Linked DNA regions of Medicago truncatula. Each later gene encodes a partner of the first gene's protein in a complex. Links are inferred from orthologs where the notes say so. Each region holds a gene or a part of one and is shown on either strand. Other genes may lie near its edges.

Region 1 (11,437 bases):
AACACAACAAAACATAAAAAGAACAAAACTTGATGATACCCACAAAACCAAATTGAGTTTATCACCAACCCCACATCAAAAAATGAATAAAAAAAGGTAAAACAAAAGATGGGCAAGCAAAAAGGAAGGAACTTTTTGTTGTGTTACATTGAATTGAATGGAGGAAGAGTCCTGTGCTTTGAAATTTTGTGGAGGAGCGATGCAAGCACATATAACTTTTCTGTGATGTTTATTGTGATGGAATGGATTTAAGTAGTTGTTTTTGGGTTGGAATTTAGTAGAAGGGGAAGTTGTTTTTTGTGGAGTGAGGGGGAAGAAAGGAATTGAAAGGGAAACCATGGTTGAAGGAATTGAAAGGGAAGTGTAGGTGGTGAAATTATTGGGTTGTGGATATGGAAAGTAGCATGTGATTCATGTGGAGAAGGGGGGTGTAGAATTTTCAAAAGGGTGGAGAATGGGGGGTGTAGAATTTTAAAGAGTGATGATTGATGAAGAAGATGATTGAGTCAAAGGGGAATGAATTGGTGGTCGGTGATTCTGAGGAGCCACTACTTTCCCAGAAGATGGCTATTGCACTTGTCTTAGAGGGACTTTTTGCATAGATCTTTCTCTTCTTTTTTTTTTTTTTATTTTTCCAACATTATTATTTAATAATCTATCCAATTATTTTTATTTAGTGATAAAAACTTATTTAAAAAAATATATTTGTTCCGGACTAGGACGAAGTTCAATCCTACTCGAGCTCCAAACATAGAACTCACTTAGACGTCGCAACAACTATTTGCATATTATCCTTGTGATTTGTAATGTCTCCCATGATTTAAATTGTCTTCAACGATTGTCAACTTCGTTCAATAAAGCTCGCCATTCGTAACGGCTTTAACAACTACCCTCGCGTCATATAAATACAAGCATTCAATACAAAGCAAAATATACTTTTATTAACAAAAAATATATCTCACATCTTATTTTCTTACTAACTTGAGCGTCAGAGTATTTATAGCTATCTCCATTCATGAATTCGTATCTTACCTCATCGTGATATGAAAATCTAACTACTTTCATCCAAACCAACTCTTGTTTATAATCTAATCTCTAATCTATAATTATGCATATATTACGAAAAGTGACAAACTCTTGTTTGTAATATAGTCTCTAATCTATTACTATGCATATATTAAAAAAGTGGCACATGAGTTGAATGTAAGTCATTATAAAAATATAAATTTTCTAAAAAACTTAGATACATTTTTTAAGTGTTTTTTATGGTTATAATAGATTTTGAGAAGATTATGGATTGGAATAAATTATAAATATATTAAGTAATTTGTAACAAATATAAGTGTATATTTAAACTTAAATCATAGCTAATGAGTATCATCATATATATCAAAACATATAAAATCATATATATTTTGACAAACGTCTTAAAAACTTTTTTTTTTAAGGAAACATCCTAAAAACATTTGTTAGCATCCTTATACTGTATTCACCATGTAAACCTTGCAGAATTTTGATGTCTCAAAATAATTCAACTCAATATTAATGCAACATTTCATGTGAAAAATGTAGTAGAAAAATCCTATATACTTACTTAATACATCCTCTTTTCATTCATCATGCCTATTTTTGTTTTTGAAGCAATGCATCATGCCTATTGGTACTCCAATCACTCCCAAAAATTATATATTATTATTAAATTGGTTATACCCTACCTTAGTTGTTCCTATTTGGACTCTAATTTACAAGCAAGATTGTCCATATCCATATTCATATTAAAGTGAGCTACGACCCCATGAATTTAGATGAAAACAATTGCAAAAATGGTGTTACCAAATGTTACAACACCATTCTCTTCATTCTCAATCCACAAAACACTTAGAACACAAACAACACCACCAACAAATTACTTAAAACCTTCACTTTCAAATTCAATCACAAACATGTCATCATTCCCCAAAAACACAAACAGAAAACTTCCAATTCTGTTATTTGACATCATGGATACAATTGTTCGTGACCCTTTTTACAAAGACATCCCAGAATTCTTTGGAATGTCTTTCAATGAACTCATAGATTGCAAACATCCAACTTCATGGATTGAATTTGAAAAGGGTCTTATTGATGAGGTAAAACTAAAATAAAGCATTAAATTTTGATAAAATTCATTGCAAAATTAAGTGACCCTTTTTCATGTTATGTATAAAGATTGAATCTTTTTTACAATTATGAATTTAAAAATGCAATTGGGGAATTTGGGTATGCTTGTTTTGATGTTATCTTCTCAAATTTCTTAGAACTTTTGTATTAAATGTATTGATAATTTGATAGTTTCTGCTTTTATCAGTAGTTTTCTTTTCTTTCAGGCAGAGCTAGAAAGAAAGTTTTTTAAGGATGGAAGGGATTTTGATTTAGAAGGTTTGTCTCAGATTTTGTTGCTAGATAGAGTTGATCACTTAGTATTTTAATCTCATGTGTGATGAATTGAACAAATATAATTATAACTTTATCAGATGTAGATTACTTGTTAATATAATAAATAAAAATTCCATTTTTTTTAAGAATTGCTGGTTGCATATTATGAAATTTTGGTTAAAAAATGAAGATAATTTGGAGGTACAAATTAAATGTGGTTTACGCATATGGTCTGGATTATTATTTATTATGTATATTACTACAAAACATGTAAGCTTTTCTTTTCTCACTTTTGCCAAAAACAATGTTATGGTTCTTTATTACTCAAAATAAAGACCAGTTCTCTAGTACATGATGTACTTGTACACCTGAACATAAGTCCAGACCACAGAGCCCCAAAATAGTTGTAGAAATGAAACCAAAATAGTTGTGGAATGCGCAAGCAATGGATATTTCAACAAACCACCATTCATATAGACAAGATATTATGTGTTGTCTATCGCATCCAAATTCTACACCACTTGACTCTCGTTGAATTAGTGTGAATTTAGTTTTTATGCACGACATTGTAAATGGTAATATATTTTGGGTCATTATTAACATTAAGGTAGATAAGTTAGAGTTACACTACAAACAAGTCCTCATTTTCCAATATAAACTGTTGTCTTTATCCTACCTTCACCAGCTATATGTTACTTTTATGTGCTAATTGAAATAGGTCAGTAATTTGGTGTCAACGTTAAAATTCAACGAGAGCATTCATAATGTACTCCTTGTATCATTTTTGTGCTCCAAACCCCTCTATTTTGATATAGCCACTGACTTGCATGTGTTCTTCTATTTCTATGACAGGCCTTAAAACTTGTATGAGAAATGGGTATTCATACATAGAAGGGGTTGAACAATTGCTTCTTGCCTTAAAGAAAAATAACTTTGAGATGCATGCTTTTACTAATTATCCTATATGGTAAGAAAATGAATTTTCTATTGCGATATCTGGTTTTCATTTCGTGGCATTCTACGTAATGATGTTTTGTACTGTAGGTATCAGTTGATCGAAGACAAGTTAAAGCTATCAAAATATTTATCTTGGACGTTTTGTTCGTGTACACTTGGTAGGCTCTCTCACTCTATGCCTTTTGTGTTCATCATCTTTTTGTTTGATTATGATATTATCTATATCCTAGTTGGACCGAAAAAAAGAACTCATCATTTAAAGGTCAAACTATACACTCAAACTATCCTTTTATGCAAACCTTGAATATTATAGAGCCATTTTTATTGTGTTTCAGGAAAGAGGAAACCGGATACTGAATTCTATAAGGAAGTTGTGAGACATCTTGAAGTTGATCCAGAATATTGTATTTTCATAGATGACAGGTTTCTAATATTTCTATACATCAGATTATTTATGAAAATCAAACCATGATATCAGTTACAATTTATCAATAACACAATACACAAAGATTTGTATGCAATGCTTATGTACTGGCATCTTGGCACCCAATGTAAATATCTCCCTCATCCCGCCTCACCTCTAATCAAGCAGAAGACATAAGCAGATTATTTCATTTGAATTTGCTAATGACCAACCTATCAAAGTAGTTTATCACAAGGTGTGTCTAATTATATAGTTATTGTCTTCTCAGGCCAAAAAATGTGCAGGCAGCAGCTGAAGTTGGGATCAAGGGTGTACATTTCAAGAATGTCGATTTACTGCGCGAAGAATTGTCATTGTTGGGGGTTGACATTTCAACTGATGAAGATCAATAGTTTTTTTATTTTTTTATTTCTCTCAATACACCAATTTCTTTTACACGGTGAAAAAGGGATAAGCCAGATTCTTAATTGTATATTATTCATTCATATCATGCTATTGAGCTTTGTTAAAATGAAGGTTTAAGTCTATATTTTGGTGTATAATTGAGATTTAAAAGAACTGAAAAATCAACATGAGAGATGATCATATATTAATTCAATGACACGTAAATTTATCTTTAAAAACATTTTATAGCTTCTTTAATTCAAAAAGAAAAACAAGTTCTCTCATGCCCTCTAAAACACTTAAGAAAAGTATAAATATATTTTTAGTATTAATTAAGGTTTATACAATAATTCAACCTTTTTGTGGAAGACTGTTTGAAAATAACACATCCAACAGAAGAAGAGAAAATGGGAAGAGTCCTTTCTTGATGTGAAGACAATGGTTTAAACGCAATTACAATAATGAACCAATGCATAACAAAAGTCTTCACTAAAATCATCCTCAGCTAGCATGGAACAATTGAGGGTGTTGAAGAAGTGAAAACAAATTTGAGGGACAAAATTACTCAACCAATTGAAAACCATCCCATCCTTAGCATACAAATAGTGCTCCCATTGGCTTGATATTTTCATTATACATGGTGTTGAATGTTGAAGCTAATTGATTCCACAGAAGGGTTATTTTTCATGATGAAATATTCCTTTTGTTCTGCTTTGATAATGAAATTCAAAATGATCTGAAACATGAAATCTAGAAGAAAAGATTAACCATATTTGTAAGGCTATTTGCTGAGGCACAGACGATCTACTGGAAACAAAAAGCATTATTATGTGCGTACAGTATGTTTAATGTCTTAGTCCCACATCGACTGGTGCAACTACAGAATTAAGCTAGAGCTTATAAAATGAAAGGACTTGTTTAGTTACAAAGCTAGGAGCCATGTGATAAAGCAAATAGCGAACTATTCTTTTACTTTTTACTAAACAACACCGCGATCTCTTTAATAATATTAAGTTTAATTTTTTAATATCTTCATAAGATTTATTTAACATGTGTAATATTACATATATTACTGTATTATATTATTATTAATGCATATGTTAAATCAACTAAGATGAACAAGTTTTTATTGTAAAACAATTATTATTTATTAGAAGCTACCCCAACCAATGATAATAGTTAACTTCTGGTTTTTTCTTTTCGGAGGAGATACTTAGTTAACTTCTAAGTTGCATTTATAGAATGATATAATATTTTTTTAAAATTTTCGTTGTTGGATAAATTATCACCGATTTTTTAAAGATAACTTAAAGAAAATTTAAACCAAAATGAATTATATTAACAAAACTTAAGCAACCCCTTCAACACAAGATTGCCAAAGAGACTACTAAATGATATAGATAAATAATATAATATATGTTTTTAGCAAATTGATAAGTTTTCTTTAAGTTATCTTTAAAAAATCGGTGATAATTTATCCAACAACGAAAATTAACAAATTTATAAGTGGGCTTAGAACGGACCCCCCCCCCCCCACACAAGTGGGCGGTGAAATTAATTTCCTCATATTAGTCGGTCCTTGAATTCGATACCAAATTTAATTTTTTTTTTCACATGTGTAAAATATGTTTGTGGATATCATTTCCAAATTGCAAATAATTATTTTTATTTTTGTTCAAAGATAATAATAGACCTCATCCATCAATTTTATTTTTTTTGGCTACCCCTCATCCATGATTTGATAATTGATAAAACAAGAGCAATGATATTTGTACATACATTCTATGACAACTTTAATGACAATCTTATTTTTCTCTCTTTTTATTGGTCAAAAATAATAGAAAGAAAAATGAAGAGAGAAGATAAGATTTAAGTGTGAGAGAGAAAGTCGTACAAAAGTTATCACAAATTAGTTAATATCTTCTCACATAAAACAAATAGTAACACTTGGAGAGAGAATTGCGATTGGAGTTGAACTCAGAAACTGAACAAACAATCATGTCTTTCAGTTCGTGCGTTAAACCATTCCCTTTGCAAGTACACTTGCACCCAACAACATCATGCTTCAACTCCCATGTTTCTGGAACAACAACAACAACAACCTCGTCATTGTCTCTTCCACCTCGTTCATCTCTTGTTCTCAAACAAAACACTATTTTACATTCCCAACCCAAATTTCAACTCAAACAACGTTTTTCCACCACAATTCGCTGTTCTGGTACTTCTTAAACCTCTTTTCCTTCATGGGTTTTCACTTAATTACTATAGAGTTACAATCTTTAATTCCCCCATTTCAATTTCACCCTTCAGTTTTTCACAATTCACAAAAGCCCCTTGTAGGGTTAACTCTATTTTTTTCAATTTTTTTTTTTTACTATTTACAATTTCATAGATAAGAATATGATTATATAGTCTTATATGCAACTTGGGTTTTTTCTGATTTTGATTTGTTTCAGCTTTGACTCCTGAATTGAAGACCACATTGGATAAGGTTGTTACATCAAACAAAATAGTTTTGTTTATGAAGGGTACTAAGGATTTTCCACAGTGTGGATTCTCAAATACGGTTGTGCAAATTTTGAGGTCTTTGAATGCGTCTTTTGAAACGATTAACATATTGGACAATGATATGTTGCGCCAGGGACTGAAGGAATATTCCAGTTGGCCTACCTTTCCTCAGCTCTATATCGATGGAGAGTTTTTTGGAGGATGTGATATCACTGTTGGTATGTCCTCTTGAATTTCTGATTTTCATTCTTGTTTGTGTCTTTGTGTTGGACAATATTGGCCTCATCAATCAATGTTGCCTTGGTGATAATGTTGTATAAGACATTGTCTTGGTCTGTCAAGAACCAACTTGGAAATAAACTAAGTGTAGCAGAGATGAGGATGTTGTGTTGGATGTGTGGTAAGATTAGATGGGATATGATTAGAAATGACAACATTAGAGAGTTAGGGTAACACCTATAGTAGAAAAGATGGTGGAAACTAGGCTTAGGTGATTTTGGCATGTAAATAGAAGACCTCGAGATTATGTAGTAAGGAGATCATATCAGATGGAGAGTAGTCAAAACACTGAGACAGAGGAAGACATAAAAAAACTATAAAAAAATCTTTTAAGAAAGATCTAGAGATTAATGAGTTTGATATAAATATGGTATATGATAGACCATTATGCGTCGTGATCTATGTAGCCGGCCCCGCTTAGTGGGATAAGGCTTGGTTGTTGTTGTTGTTTAATTTGGTTTGCTTCCATGATGGATAATTAGTAATAGAAAGAGCTATGATAAATTTCACATTTTACATTTGAGTTAGGAAATATTCTAATCAAGTCGCTACTAGTGATTAGTTATCATATTAAACTAATGGAGATATCATACCATAGGTTTCGCCTATATACTTTCCTTCTCATTTTTTGAAGATTTAAGATTCACTAAATAGAACCTAAAGAAATGGGAAGAGTTTTATCTAAAGATTGAATTTGAAGAAAAGCTAGAAATACAAAAGACGGCCAGATTGGTTTAAATGCTAGTAACCTGACAAATATTCTATCACGTCGGTTACAGAGATTTTTTTTTTTTTATCAGCTATTGCAAAATTGATGTTTACAAAATGCCAGTTTGCACATATTAATCTTTTTTACTGTTACATGTACATACCTTGCTTCCTTGTAATTGATCCATAAAAGTTGAAAAAGAAAAATTGTTTTCGAGTAGGTCCTCCAGCTTTCATATGTTTACTGCATGATGTTACTATTGACTGCATAAGAATCAGTTATTAAGTTTATTTTTTAGCATCGGATAAGACTGTTATTATCGACCTTTAATTTCTCGAAAATAATTGTTTTAATCTCACCTTGTTTATGGCTGCAGAGGCATATAAGAATGGAGAATTGCAGGAACTAGTGGAGAAGGCAATGTGCTCCTGAAGTCTCATTTGCTGATGAGCATAATCATCACTAAGTTATACAATGGCTCTGGGATGATGGATATTTGTATAATACATTTTGTGTCCACAAATGTCTATTATGATTATGAGTACGAGTATGTATGCTACATTGCAATTATTCTGGCATTTGAATACAAAGTAGAATATCTCATTGAATGGACAATTATAGTGCTAGTTGCAGCTGCAAATGTTGTTCCATTAATCAATTTTCTCACTTTTGTTAAACTGCCATGATCGGGATAACTACTACAAGATCATTCATTGATTTAAATTGTGAAATCAGTCTCCTACAAATGCAAGGTCTGTTCTGTTTACAACAGACCCCCAGTTTGTCTAACTCTTTCTTATACATTGTCATGACATGAGGTTTGTAGCCTCGGTTTGAATTTTTCTGTTAAACTGTTATGTTGCTACTTTGTAACATGATACCACTGTTTTAAAGAAAAATCAGACCAGACTGACCTTCGAACCGGTTCAGCCGAGAACTGGACCCATGGTTGTGCTTATAAACCGGATGTTATGGCATTGATCTATGGTTCAACCACATGATCCACTACTAAACCCTTTTTTTAAATTGGGTTAATCATCGGTCTGGTTTTTGTAATACTGGCTCTACCCGGTAGTCACAATAGTTACAAAATTAGCTTCCTCTATGCAATATGCTTCTAAAAAATGGTAGAAGTCTAGCTGTAGCATGTAGATTGTGCACTTAGATGTATAAGGTATGTTATCCAATTCAATACAATTAACCTGTGAAGCTTAGTGTGCCAAATGCCAAATGCCAATGTACTGAAGAGAAGTTGGTGGGACAAATTCCTAAAGGGTCTTGTTAACTAGTGGACATGATTCGCATTGAAAATGACAATATTTCAACTTTTAAAAAATAGAATACACAATTTCTAAGAAAATATTTCCTTTTCTAATTCCTTAACCTTAACATTTCCTATTCTTAAAATATGAGGATATTTTCCTAAAATTTATTGAAAAGATCAAGGGTTTTGCCTCTCTAATTGAAATGTGGCCATAAATTTATTGGTGGAAGGATTTGCCAACATATCTATCAAAAAATTTGTAAGAGGGGCAATCGTCATATAGTAATACTTGTGTTATGATCTTTTTTTATAAGATTGAGTGAATGAAGACATATGTGATTGTGACTTTAGCTGGATAATGATATCAATTGGAAGTCGGGCTCAAATTGAAAGCTAACTCATTTTTTTAGTTTTGACAACATTGGGAATGTGATTCTTAAACAAGCTAAAGGGGTTAGTGGTATCTGCATGGGAGAAAAAAATTAAAAATTAATGGCAGTGGTCGGAAATTGGAAAACATCATCTGAAAATACGACAAAAGATAACATCCATGCTTTTTTAGACTCAACCCAGTTGTTTGTGTCTGTTCATTCCAACAAACAAGGGATGTACATGCTTATTGGATGCTCTTAATTGTATAACCCTTCTAGAGAAATTTATCTATAGTGAAAATAAAAAGTCACTCAGCATATCATAACATAAAAAATCCATAAAGAATAAAAATGGGAAATTATGTTACATTCTGAAGAACTATTACTCACAATCCACTCTCCTTTACACAAAATACTGCACTGGCTATATACAAGGTTTGACGAAACATATATGAACATGGAAAATCAGTTTCAGAAGAGTGGTAAAGAATATTAGACGATGACAACAATAATCATCAAAGAATATCGGACAAAATCAAATATGGATCGGCGGCATGTTTTGTCCAGACACAGCAGCTTCAATGCAGGAATATTCGGCTAGGAATACTATGGTTTTGAAGAGATCTATTCAGCACATTCTCCCACTTAAAGATTTTACAACCATTAACTCTTCTTGGACAGGTTTCAATCAAGAATCAACTTCCACTGTTGAATCATGCTTGTAAAATTCATGGAATGGTCTGATGATCGGTTGATGCAAAGACACCTATGCTAAGTTTCGTTGCTCTTTATTTGGGAAGAGTGGTTAGATGAGGAGGAGTGGAGCAGAGACTGCGCAGCTAATAATCTTTCCCTTAACATGCCATTATACTCATACAGATTTTTGAGATTCTTCTGAACATCGGACATGTCCATTTCAGAACCACTCTTGCATTCTGCATCATATTTGCATATAAGTTATATCCATTAGAGGTAGCAAAAGCACCACAGTACGATTTTCGAAACTTGAAAAAAGGTATCATTCAAATATCTCTTCAAATAATGCAGAAACAAGTTTTAAATAATTGACAATCCAACAGCTATTAAGCAGATAAACCAATTGAAAAACATAATGTGTTAGCAGTGTTACCTATGATCGTAATAGAGAAGCAAAACCAAAGTTCAATAGCATTATATCAAGACAACATATGGAGCCAAGAGAGACATTTATGATGGGGAGACAGTGGATCTAAGATTTCAGTTTCACTTTTAAAACTCAGCAAAGTAACATTCAACAAAACTTATTTCACGCGAAAAGATACTGATTTAAATATCACCTAATAAGTATGCTGGACAATATATTAAAACAAACAACTAATTGGTAATTGTTATTAACATACCTAGTGAAGGTGGAGGAGGAATAAAGTTATCATCAGTGATAGACGATTCTTGAGGTTGACATGGTGGGAAATCTCTGCTTGAACCAACACTATGCTGCTTTGCCGTATTTTCATAATGCAGTGTCAAATCATTCGTAGATCCAAGCGGTTTGCTGATCAATGACTGGAAGAAAACATTGAAATCAATCTTAAAAAGATGCCTGGCAGCAACCATATATTTTAGTAGAAAAACTAGCTACAAACAAATCATTCTGACAAATTTATAGAACTTTACCTTGTTGGCAGGTAAATTACGAATATAGAAAAACTAACAAATATATAGTGACAGCTTTATAGAAAAACTAACGAATATATAGTGATAGCTTTACCTTGTTAGCAGGTAAACTCGGTTTCTCGTACAAATTTATAGAACTTGTTTTGCTTTGCTGCCTTCGCTTATGTGATGATCCATTGCTTTGTCTTGAATACAACATAAACCCATCACAACAAGCTCCCTTTTTAGATTCATCATAGTTGTCATCATCCATTGTAGGAACGCCATAGGTAAACTTTACATATTTCCTAAGCTGGTTAAAAGCAGAAATATCAGTCATATAAACCAACTTATAAGAAGCCTATTAATTTTTTATTTTTTTATAAGAAGCCTATTATTGACTTCTTCAAAAAAAGAAGCCTAATATTGACAATAAGAAAATTAATGTGAAATATACAAGATGTTTTCAGATGTTAACAAAGACATTACTTTAT
Region 2 (10,887 bases), on another chromosome or scaffold:
GTTTTTAGTTTTGCAGTTCATCACAGTTTCTGCTTGTTATCTATTATTGGTTGTTAAAGCTGAAAAAATGAAATGTAGAAATATAAGACCATTAAGCGTGATGTGGCTGAACTTCTTAACTTGACATGCTTAACATCACATTTCTTTGCTCCTTGCAAGTTACAATGAACATTAAATGTGATGTGGCAGAACTTAACTTGCTACAATTTCCTGTCTTTTGAACCCCTTGTATGTTCTGCTCAACTTTTATTTTATTTCATGGAACTTATTGGATTTTTAACTGTCACACGTTTTGATGGTAAAGAGGCTTAATCTTCTGTAACATGAATAAGTTAAGCGTGTTCAAGAGTTCTAGCTGTGACAATTTCATAAGAACCATGCAAAGTAATAGTCATGTTATTTAGTCTATGTTTTAGTTATTAATTTTGATAATTTATTATTGTCAGAAGGGATGTTGCTATTAGAGTTGTGGGATGGAATGATGGATACTGGATAGAGTTATAGGCACGTTTAAGAGACTAATTAAGTTTTTAAAGAATTACAGCATGATACAAATAATTATCATGATTGTTTGGACTTGAGTGTGATTATGATGTTCCTAAGCCGAAGTCTTTACTAACTAGATTTTTACGAGTATGCCATCTTTAAAACCTGATTTAGTAAAAATACAACTTGACATTTTGTTGTTAGTCAAAAGTTAGACCAAAGAAGATCCACTTTTGGTTGTTTTGTTATAGTTAATTGCAAGTCATTCATTTCGCGATTATGCAAATTTTACTATTCTCTTCTGTCTTCTAATATATTTCGGTTCTGCAGATGGAAAGCAACAGATGAGTCCATTTGCTAATTCAAAGACTGCTACATATTTAGCCTGGCAAAACATGCACAACAAGTACTGTCACTATGCTTTCTGTTGATTTCAATGTCCATTTTACATCCAAAGTCCTTGCAACCAAGAGTATCAATCCAGGTTATTTCACATCTATTGCCACATTTTTTGTGCTGAATTTTTTTAACTATTGCAGGTGTAGAAGATTTCATTACATTTTAAACAAGATTTTTTTACTTGTGCTCTTTCACTTCTGTCAATCAATCCGTGGGATTCATATGCGATTAAATCCATGTCTCTAGAACATTCTAATTGCCCAGCCAGTGCTGTTCAAGCCTTAACTCATGCAATGAGTCGGCGCATGTCTCCTGCTTCATCAGAATCATGGTGTAGACGAGTAGTGGTCATGGTCAACATGTCAATTCCAGCATGTGGATCTCATGCCGAAAGAGATATGAAAATTCCAGCAGTGAGACTTTGATATAGCGTACGCCATAGCTCAAAATCATCTTTATCGCAAATGTTGCCTAATTTCTGAATTTTGTCAGCATGAGGCGAAAACATTAACCAATCCATCTCTTTCCCTCTCACTTTCTCTTTACTCTCTCTATTTCTGTAAGTGCTTTAAGATGTTTATTAGGTACCTTTCTTTGATCCAACAACCATGACTTCCTCTGATAATTTTATTTCACTGTTGTAAATAAATTTCAAATGGATTGTTCAATTGGACCAGTTACTAAATCATTTAATTAAACCCAACAAGAATGACAATGTGCTCTCATTATAGTTGACACCAAAGCAGAAACCATGCATGGAAACACCAAGATAATCTCAAGAAAACTGTAAAGACTAAATCAACAAACGGTTTATTAAAGAACTAATAAAACAACAAAGCCACAAAGCCTTTGATAACAATGTGAATTAACTACAAATTCAAAGTTTCACTTCAACGGAGAAAGAAGCGCAGCACAAAGCCACAAACTAAACAACAATGCGAGTTAACTACAAATTCAGAGTTTCACTTTAGTACATGAACAACAGTGTAACTGTAAACTTATTAACTACAAATTTCATAGAGATTCACTTCAGCAGAGAAAGAACTAAACCGCAATCTTCATCATCATCGAAGCATCGCACTCACAGGCCATGGTGATCTTCAATCTCAACCATTGGCTTGACCTGAGGCATGGGAGACACACCTGCTGTAGTAGTGACACCAGCAGCACAACCACCACGTCCATCAAGAGCAGAGCAGGTTTCTTCCGTCGCCTGACCTGGAGAATCTAATAAAGTTGATGCTCCGGCTCCAACACCTGCTCCTTCCGACGCTCCTTCACCTCCTAATATAGTATCATAAGCAGCCGCAATAGGATTGATATGCGGAAAAGGCAAATACACACTGTGCACAACTATCTTCACATTGCGGATGACGTCAGCAACCTTAACTCTCACATAGTTAATCCTCATCGGCGCTGATGTCACTCCTCCGCCGGAAGTAGTGATCAGAAGCGGCTGACCTCGCTCCAATGTAGGCAGAGCAGTTCCAACTGGAAGCTTCTCAAGATCGGCGATCGACAAGTAATAATTCGGTATGATATGGAATCGCACATTGCTGATGTACGATTGAGAACCGGAGAATATAGAAAGATCATCAACGGCGAAAATAGTCATGTTGTTGAGAGTTATGAGCTCTGCGTATTTTACCTTCATCGCAAGGGAGAGGATGCTGAAACCGTTATTACGGAGCCTGAGCATTGCATCTCGTAGCATGAGGCGCATTATAGCAGGGAGCACGGTGACGCCGTGAGTGTGAACGTGAGCACTGGAACGGTGATCAGGATGAAACGGAAAGGAGAGTGAAGTCATTCTCTCAACGTCACAAGAAAACGGAGAAAGTGTAGAGACGAAACCTTGAAGGCCGTGAACAACAACCATTCCGTTGTTGAATAGATCCGGTTGAGCAATCTCAACGCCTCCGATGAAAACTTTTGGAGCACCGCCGGTAGTAATGTTCGAATGAATCGAATCGGAAGTGACGGTTATGCAACGGCCTGGACTGAGCGTCTCGATCTTGGTGCCAAAAGGAAGCGTACGCAAATACTCGATAGTGAATAAACCTGGAACGATGTGTTCACGGAGGAGATTCGGAACAGAGCAAGAAAAGCAAGTGCGAAGCGAAGCATCGGAGGGAGCGAAAATGGTAGAAGGACCGGTCCAAGCAGAGGAAGCGGTGGTTGCGGCATCGGAGAGCGACGGAGCGGCGGTTGCAAGCTCGTGAAATCCGAGATGAGACAAGATCGGTGGAAGTAATGTGGTGTGAGAGAAGAACGAATGTTCTTGAAGATCATGTGGAGGTAGCGGTGGGATTGAAGGTTCGAAACCTTCAGTGGCGGTGACCTTGTCACCGGAAAGCATGACGGTGAAGAAGATTGCGAAGAGCATCGAGAATCGAAGAGAAGAAAAGGTTGAAGAGCTTTCCATGGTTGTTTGAGAAAAAGTAGAAGAAGCAGTGATTGAAGATTTGATTTCAATTCTGAGAGAGGGAAAATGAATGGAACGAGGATGAAATGCAGAGTGAAGTACTTATATACGCGCGCGCGGGGGAGTGAAACTGTTAGAGAGATTTTGTAATCGTGTGAGTTTGTTACGCGGTTGTTAGAGGTTTAAAGTTTTCGAATTTTGGGATTTGTAAGCGTGCCAAGTATTTTTTTTATTTTTTTTTTAAATGGAAGTGGAAAAAATAGAAAATGAAAATTAGTGATTCATCTTTTAATCAATGTTTTTCATTTTTTGATAACTCTTCACATTATTGCAGATTTTTTGTTGCAACACATCTCATCATGAGAACAAGTTCGCCTCCCACATGAGGGGGCGGTTTAAGAAAAATTCAATGATTGAATTTGATTTATATAATGAAATTGATTTGACATTTAATTATTTGTCCATATAAATTTTGGGTCATGATAGTGCTAAATACTCTTGCGATGATCTTAGATTTTCGACAGTAAATAATAATTCATCTATTTCTACTTTTACTTGGAGGGTTATTGTTAGTGTTTAGAAGGATGTCTCTAGAAACATAACTAGGTATATTAAGAATGGTCATCGTGTTTGGTTTTGAAAATATGTTTGGATTTGAGATTATGGCCCTTTGCAAAATATCGCCTCCAATGGTTTTTCCGTTGTCCATATGGAGTTTTCTGTCTCTCATTATGTTTTTGATGGCCGATGGAACTGGGAATTGCTCAATCAACTTCTTCCTCAATAAATTTATGAGAAAATTACAGTTATCAAGCCTCCCTTTAATGAAAAATCTGTCTTTCTTTGAAGAAACCTTACCAGAGATGGAGATTTCTCTCTCAAATCACCGTATTCTATCATACATGGTAAACATCACTTCTTCTCAACAAACCTTAATATCTTTCATGGTAAAATTCTAACTAATGATGAAAGGTATCATATAAGTATGACTAGAGACAATCTTTGTATTATATATGGTGACTATCAAGAGACAATTATATATGTCTTAAGAGATTGCGTAGAAGCAAACATGTTGTGGAATGGTCTAGTTTCTCAATATGTTTGGAGCAATTTCTTTAGTCTTGGATTGTTTCAATGGCTCGACTAGAATATCAAAACTCTTAATATTGACACAATACATAACAATCGCCAAATGTTCTTTGGAGTTGACGTTTATGAGCTTTGGAAAGATAGAAATAGCCTAATGTTCAATGGGAAATCTTTGATTGGTAACCAAGTTCTATGTCAAATAACCAACTATGCTAATTTCACTATTTTCTCTATCAATTCTAAATTCTAATGTCTAATTTCATTCTCATCCATCGAGACACAATGTCAAGGTCTTTTGGTCATCTCTACCAGACGATCATTATAAGTTTAATATTGGTGAATATCATAAAAAGTCAACATGAATATCTAGTCGTGGAGGTTTGATTAGATATTGACATGGTAGGAATATACGTGGTTTCGACAACATAATTGTCACTTTATCTGCCTCGTGGGCATAACTTTTGGGGCCTTTAAATACACTGGAATAGATATGACGAGTCAATTGAATATTAGAAACACCATTTTTGAAATGGATTCTATGATCATGGTTAATATGGTTACTTCAGGTTCATCTCAAAATTCTCTTCTCCATGAGGTGATCTCTCTTATCCACCGTCCTATATGGAGAACTTCAGTTTGTCAAGTGCATTGCGAGGCTAAACAATGTGTTGATCTGTTGACAAATCTCATACATTCTTCATTGTATTTTAATTATATTTATGTTTGCAATGTTTTTCGTTCGACTTTGAAACTTCTACCAGAAGATGATGTAAGATGTAATAGTTTGTCTCATTTAATTTCGTAATTTTTTTTTCTTATAAAAAAACCATCTCCATAAAATTCTATGTGAAATGATATTAATTGTGTGCGCAAATAAGTTTTAGATCAGTAGCGTGTAACTTTTTTTTTTTGAAGAAAACAATTCTTTTAAAAAAATTAACTTAATTGATAGTGACAATATATTGCAATAGAAAGGGACATGGTTGTCCCCGTGAGCATAACTCAGTTGGCAGGGACAATGCATTATTATATGCAGGGGCCGGGGTTCGAACCCCAGACACCCCACTTATTCACTTTAAAAGTGAATTTCTAGGCACTAGGCTACCTGACCAAAAAAAAAAAAAAAAGGGACATGGTTTAAATCGCATATACCCTACTTATTTACATTCAAATTTCTAAAAAAAAAATACAATTCTTTAAAAAATATTAGTTAAAATAAAATAAACTCATGTTAAAAAAAATGATGAAAAGAAGTGAATAACAAAATAGGATAATTATTTTTCGGCTTAATACATCAGTTGATCCCTTAACTTATTTTCGTTTTTCATTTTGGTTCCCTAACTATTAAACGTCTCAATTTGGACCTCTATATATTACGCTGTTACCTATTTTAATCATCTCCGTTAATTTTTTAATGTCTAATAATGTTGATATGACTTCAACCATCCGATTGCAGATCCATTGTATATAATAGTGAACTACCAACATCTGATTTTTTTTTTCCTTTTCTTCTTCTTCTTCTCCTTCCCTCTTACTCCTCTTGATCTTCGTCATCTTAATTATTAAGTTCATATAAACCCAAAAAAATTGAACAAACAAAAACATAAAAAATAAGAATTGATTGATTCTTCGTTATTCACTAAAATCTCAATTTTAGTTAGATCCCATTAATAATAATAAAATAAAAAAACTAAAAATAAAACACAGCAATCCATAGATTCACTTCTTCGTGATTCATTTCTTCTACCATTAAATTAATCTTCTCCAATTTGAGACATATATTCATTTCTTTCTTCCACAGTTTATACAACATCACTTCTTCCTAATATAAACGGTGAAATTAAAGGCTCGCTACCTCCTTTCTTGTGCGATGAGATTTATAGGGATTTTATAGATTTAACTGTTGGTTATTTTTGTTTTCTTTATACGGAATGGGATTGCGTTTGAAGCTGAGTTATTGAAATTATTTTTATACAAAACCCAGATGCAGAAGAACTAAAATCACAAACCCATAGGCAATACAACAACACTTACTCTCTTTCTCTCATTTTCATTATGATTTCATTTTGATGTGAATGAATTGAATCCGAATGCAGAAGAACTGAATCAGAATTTGACAGTTTTGATGTGAATGATTTGGTTTTGTTTCTCTAAGAAGGGTTGTTGTTGTTTGTTTTCTGGGTTTGATTCTGAATTTGAAGGGTTGTTGTTTGTTTTCTGTGTTTGATTTTGACGATGATATTATGTGTTGTGGTTGTTATTTTTTTCTGGGTTATATTAAGATTGACCAAGAAAGTATGAATGTGATGAAGGAAGAAGAAGTAGAAATAAGAAAAAAATTATGTGTTGATGGTTCACCGTAAGATACAACAGACCTATATAATCTAACGGTTCTCTTTTTAAAAAAATATTAAAGGGTTTAAATTAAATGAATTTATAAAGTCTATGATGGACCACCTTTAATATGATTCAGCTTAAACTAAAAACTAATGGAGATGATCAAAATAATAAACTGCATAAGATTTATAGGATCAAATTGAGACGTTTAATTGTTACGAGACTAAAATGAAAAAAGAAAATAAGTTAAGGAAAATGATATATTAAGCCTTATTTTTCTTTTATCTATCCGCGTGTGAGCAACGGCAAGTTAAGAAGCGAATATCTTTCACAAAAGGGTTTACACGAGAAATTGAAGAACAGCAGAAAGGGCAAACCTCACAAGAGAGAAATAGAAATGGGTGTGACAAAGGAACAAGTCGAATCATCTTTGAACTCCAAACTCAACCCTTCCCATCTTGTAAGTTTCTCTTTTCCAGTTTCGTTCCTTTCCTTTGATTTACGCTCGTTTCACTAATAAACATGGCTTAATTTCAACACACCATTTTTATTTTATTTTGTATATATTATTATTTTCCATCCTTAGCCCTAATTATTATATTGGAATGTGCAATTCCTTTGTCATGCTTCATGCCTCTTAGCATTGGAGATCCAAAAAAATCCCTAATTGTTCCCAAATGTATCGAAACTTCAAAAACATTATTTAGTGTGTTTCGGTTAGTAGTTTCATGGACAGCCTAATTAACGAAAAATACATTCAATGACCAAACTAACGAGGACCGAATTGACTAGCGAAAGACACTTTTAGGAAAGTTGTTGTAATTTTATTCAATATTCATGCAAGTTCAAGGACCCTAATAGTTGTTAGCTATGGCTATCTGGAGTCTATATTACAATTTTGGAATTTCTTTTGATCAAGAGACTGTAAAATTAGTGTCTGACTCTTGAAGTTTTCACACTGCTCTGGTCTGATTATTAACATGATCAGTATTTTTACCTGAGTTTAATGGTTACACACTGGCAGCCCACAATTTTACACTGACATCCAATGAGAGACCACCATTTTTCCACATCACACAATCAGCTTCAAAATACATGTACATTGAAAATGCACATCCTCTGATTCCTCTTTACTTTTGACTCGACATTACATGCAGTGTAGAGTATCCTTAGTGAAATATGTTAAAAATGGAACTTCATCCTATGAAAGGGAAAATGATCAACCTTCAATTTATCAGTTTTACAGTTTATATGAGTTCATGAGTTATGAGGAACAAACTATACTACTGCACCAACTTGAAAATGTGAACCTTCCATTTGTATTTGACAATGACCTTCTCCTTTTCCTTTTGAATTTCTTATGTTTGTTTTTGTTTCAGGAAGTAACTGATATATCTGGCGGGTAAGTTTTGTTTTCCATCCAACACATTTTTTATCAGCTTTTTTCTACCACCGTATACTTGTCGCTTATATCTTACAATCTTATAATTCCATGTTGGTATTATTAGGTGTGGTTCAAGTTTTGCAGTTGAGATTGTTTCAGAACAATTTGAAGGAAAAAGGCTATTGGAAAGGCATCGAATGGTGAATGCTGCCTTAGAGGAGGAAATGAAAGAGATTCATGCACTCTCTGTAAAGAAAGCTGTAACTCCAGAGCAGTGGAAAAAACAGCAAGAGTCCAACCAATCAAATCCTGCGGCCTAGAGCATATAATATTTATAAATAAAAAACCCTTACAATATATTGCTGGCAGTATTTGTGGATCATAGTTCTATGTATTATTTGCTGCCACTCAAATTTTATGTTGCACTGCTAAATTTTAGTTGACAAAGTCCCTGACTTTCAGTAGGGTAATTTTATGATGATTGTTCTTTTTATACTTTCTTGGGTATTGCTTACTAGAATACATGTAAGCATGCTCAATAGAGATGAAAGTTGGAAGAAATGAAGGCAAAGTAAAAAGCTAAGAATGCATGACTTATGAAGGTTTCTTGCATGTCTGAATCCGAATGGATCAATCAATTTCTATTTTTCCTAAATTTTAATTCTTTCCAAGTTCATTCTTCATGTGGACTTAACTTGTTGACTTGAATATGTGGGTGTCCTTTTCATTTTTCTTCTGAGGGTTTTGTTTTCAGTCTGAATTTTTAACCTTGCTAGTTCATTTGGATGGCGTTATTGATGAGTATTATGTTTCAACCTTTAGGTGATTTTCGCTATGTCCTGATATATCATGACAGTGAGTTGGTAAACTGAAGGCATTGTGGTTTTGCTGAACCTTCAAAGTGTATATTAGCTAAAGTTACGGTAGCACACCGTGATTTTGTCAAATTTACCAGAGGTCCAAATATGCACACATCTTTTACACTGACAATTGTGTCCTTTTCTCACCACACACAAGATTCAATGGTGCCTTAAAAATCTACTGTTTTCTTCACATCTGAACTAAGAAGCTTTATAGTCCTCCTCGTCACTTGTGAAAACAATTGATTCATAAATCTTATGACCGTGTCATTACTTTTGTACGCTGAATAGAAGGAATGGTTGAAACCACTTCAAGTGCCGTCAACTATTTTTATTGTACTCAATTTGTGCATACTATAGGAACATTTGGCTTTTGAGGTCAATAAGTAAGAGACCAACACGTACAGTGTCTATCTCATGGACCTCATATATTCTATGAATTTTAACCACATGTCTCGATAAGACCTATCCAAAAACCTTGATTAGAAAAAATCAAATAAAGACAACAAATATGTACACAGTTCCACTGTCATCAAAATTTTGAGTCACCCTTTTATCAGAAAACTTGAAAGAACAACGTGCGAGGTGTCACCACCATGATCCTCTACCCTGTTTCATTATTCTGTATTTAAGCTTGAATGTTATTATGATAACTAAGCTAGTGCATCCATCAATGAATGATTCTCCTCTGGTTTGTAGAACCATGAACATCATGAAACTTCAAAGATTTGGACCGGTTAGTAATCGTTCATGGATAAAGACTTCAAGATTTGGTGAGAAGCCATTATGGTTTAGACCCATTACTATCATTAAAGTTGCAGAACAATCTTCTGGCTATGGCTTAGTTGAAGATGAAGCACTTGGACAGAAGAAAAGAGAGCTTTACCAGGCTCTGGAAGGTAGCATCTTCAATTATTCTTATTATTTGTTATTCTGAGCTATTGTTAACACTAGTTAACAAAGTGGAAAGAGTAATTTGTTTGAAATGGGTAAACAAATGTGTTTGAAGGAATCAACAGAGGGATATTTGGAATTCCATCCGGCAAGAAGTTAGAAATTGAAACTTTGGTGAAGCAGCTAGAATCTCAAAATCCAACTCCAGAACCAACACTAGAACTAGAGAAGGTAACTTCATGTCAAGGTTTTAAAATCGACACGGTACAGTCATGCCGCGATTCTTGATATTATGGAGAGTTCGAGTTAAATGTGGTTGATGTGGTGTCATAAGAGGCTGTGTTATGGCCGCAAAGACATAAAAAAGTTGATGTCGAGGCCTAAATCACATTTTTTTAAACTATATTAATTGTCATACACAAACTTTCATAATCATGTTATGTTTCTATTACTGGAAGGTGGATGGGTGTTGGAGGCTTGTTTATAGCACTATCTCAATTTTGGGATCAAGAAGGACAAAGTTAGGCCTAAGAGACTTTATCGCATTGGGTGATTTCTTTCAGATTATTGATAAAACCAAGGTACAAATACAATGCACTTCTCAATTTTATATGATATATGACCCTTTTTCTTTTGACTTTTGATTTACTGATTTTATTTGATAATGATAACATTAAACTTCAGAAGGCACAAAACTAAGCATAGTTTCCAATCATAAATTTCGTATTTTTGTGTCAAAATTACTTAATCCGTCTTTGCTCTTAAAATCTAAAATACTAAGCTTGAAATTTAGATCGTTTGATTTTGATCGGACAATCTAGATGCGGCTAATTGCACGTAGTCACGAGTTTGTGAATCCATAAAACCAAAAGATCCCAAATTAGACCCGATAAAACTACTGCAGAAAGTGAACTACATGTCAATTATGCCTACATTGTTAACGTTTGAGTCTTTTAGCACATGCAGGACTAAATTGAATCAAAAATATATAGATGAAATTAAATTTAAATTAA

The links.
Region 2: the proteins of monothiol glutaredoxin-S14, chloroplastic (region 1) and protein BOLA2 are in contact, whole or in part, in an NMR structure (PDB 2MMA), measured with the Arabidopsis thaliana proteins. The link is inferred for Medicago truncatula from reciprocal best matches to the Arabidopsis thaliana genes CXIP1 and AT5G09830. Residues at the interface, in NP_191050.1 of Arabidopsis thaliana: Lys130, Ser133, Asn134, Trp135, Pro136, Thr137, Glu146, Phe147, Phe148, Asp152, Ile153, Glu156, Ala157, Thr160, Glu162, Glu165, Glu166; in NP_568217.1 of Arabidopsis thaliana: Arg46, Leu47, Leu48, Arg50, His51, Arg52, Asn55, Met62, Ile65, His66, Ala67, Leu68, Ser69, Ile70, Lys71, Gln74, Gln78.

What each region holds. Positions count from the first base shown.
Region 1 is NC_053048.1:36,959,906-36,971,342, reverse strand, and holds monothiol glutaredoxin-S14, chloroplastic, read left to right. Parts: upstream 1-6,119; 5' UTR 6,120-6,178; coding exon 6,179-6,398; intron 6,399-6,636; coding exon 6,637-6,906; intron 6,907-8,052; coding exon 8,053-8,108; 3' UTR 8,109-8,407; downstream 8,408-11,437. Other genes in the region: protein TRIGALACTOSYLDIACYLGLYCEROL 3, chloroplastic, read right to left, coding at 148-339; flavin mononucleotide hydrolase 1, chloroplatic, read left to right, coding at 1,806-2,129, 2,367-2,418, 3,268-3,382, 3,460-3,530, 3,708-3,795, 4,065-4,188; uncharacterized protein, read right to left, coding at 10,083-10,246, 10,691-10,853, 11,059-11,256, 11,433-11,437. UniProt on the Arabidopsis thaliana protein: May only reduce GSH-thiol disulfides, but not protein disulfides. Probably involved in the regulation of the redox state of the BOLA proteins. May act as Fe-S cluster donors to Fe-S cluster-requiring proteins.
Region 2 is NC_053049.1:42,946,973-42,957,859, reverse strand, and holds protein BOLA2, read left to right. Parts: upstream 1-7,027; 5' UTR 7,028-7,133; coding exon 7,134-7,196; intron 7,197-8,115; coding exon 8,116-8,138; intron 8,139-8,244; coding exon 8,245-8,440; 3' UTR 8,441-8,786; downstream 8,787-10,887. Other genes in the region: fibrillin protein 5 homolog, read left to right, coding at 9,627-9,879, 9,990-10,105, 10,333-10,455. UniProt on the Arabidopsis thaliana protein: May act either alone or in interaction with glutaredoxin as a redox-regulated transcriptional regulator, or as a factor regulating Fe-S cluster biogenesis. The GRXS17-BOLA2 heterodimer binds a labile, oxygen sensitive iron-sulfur cluster.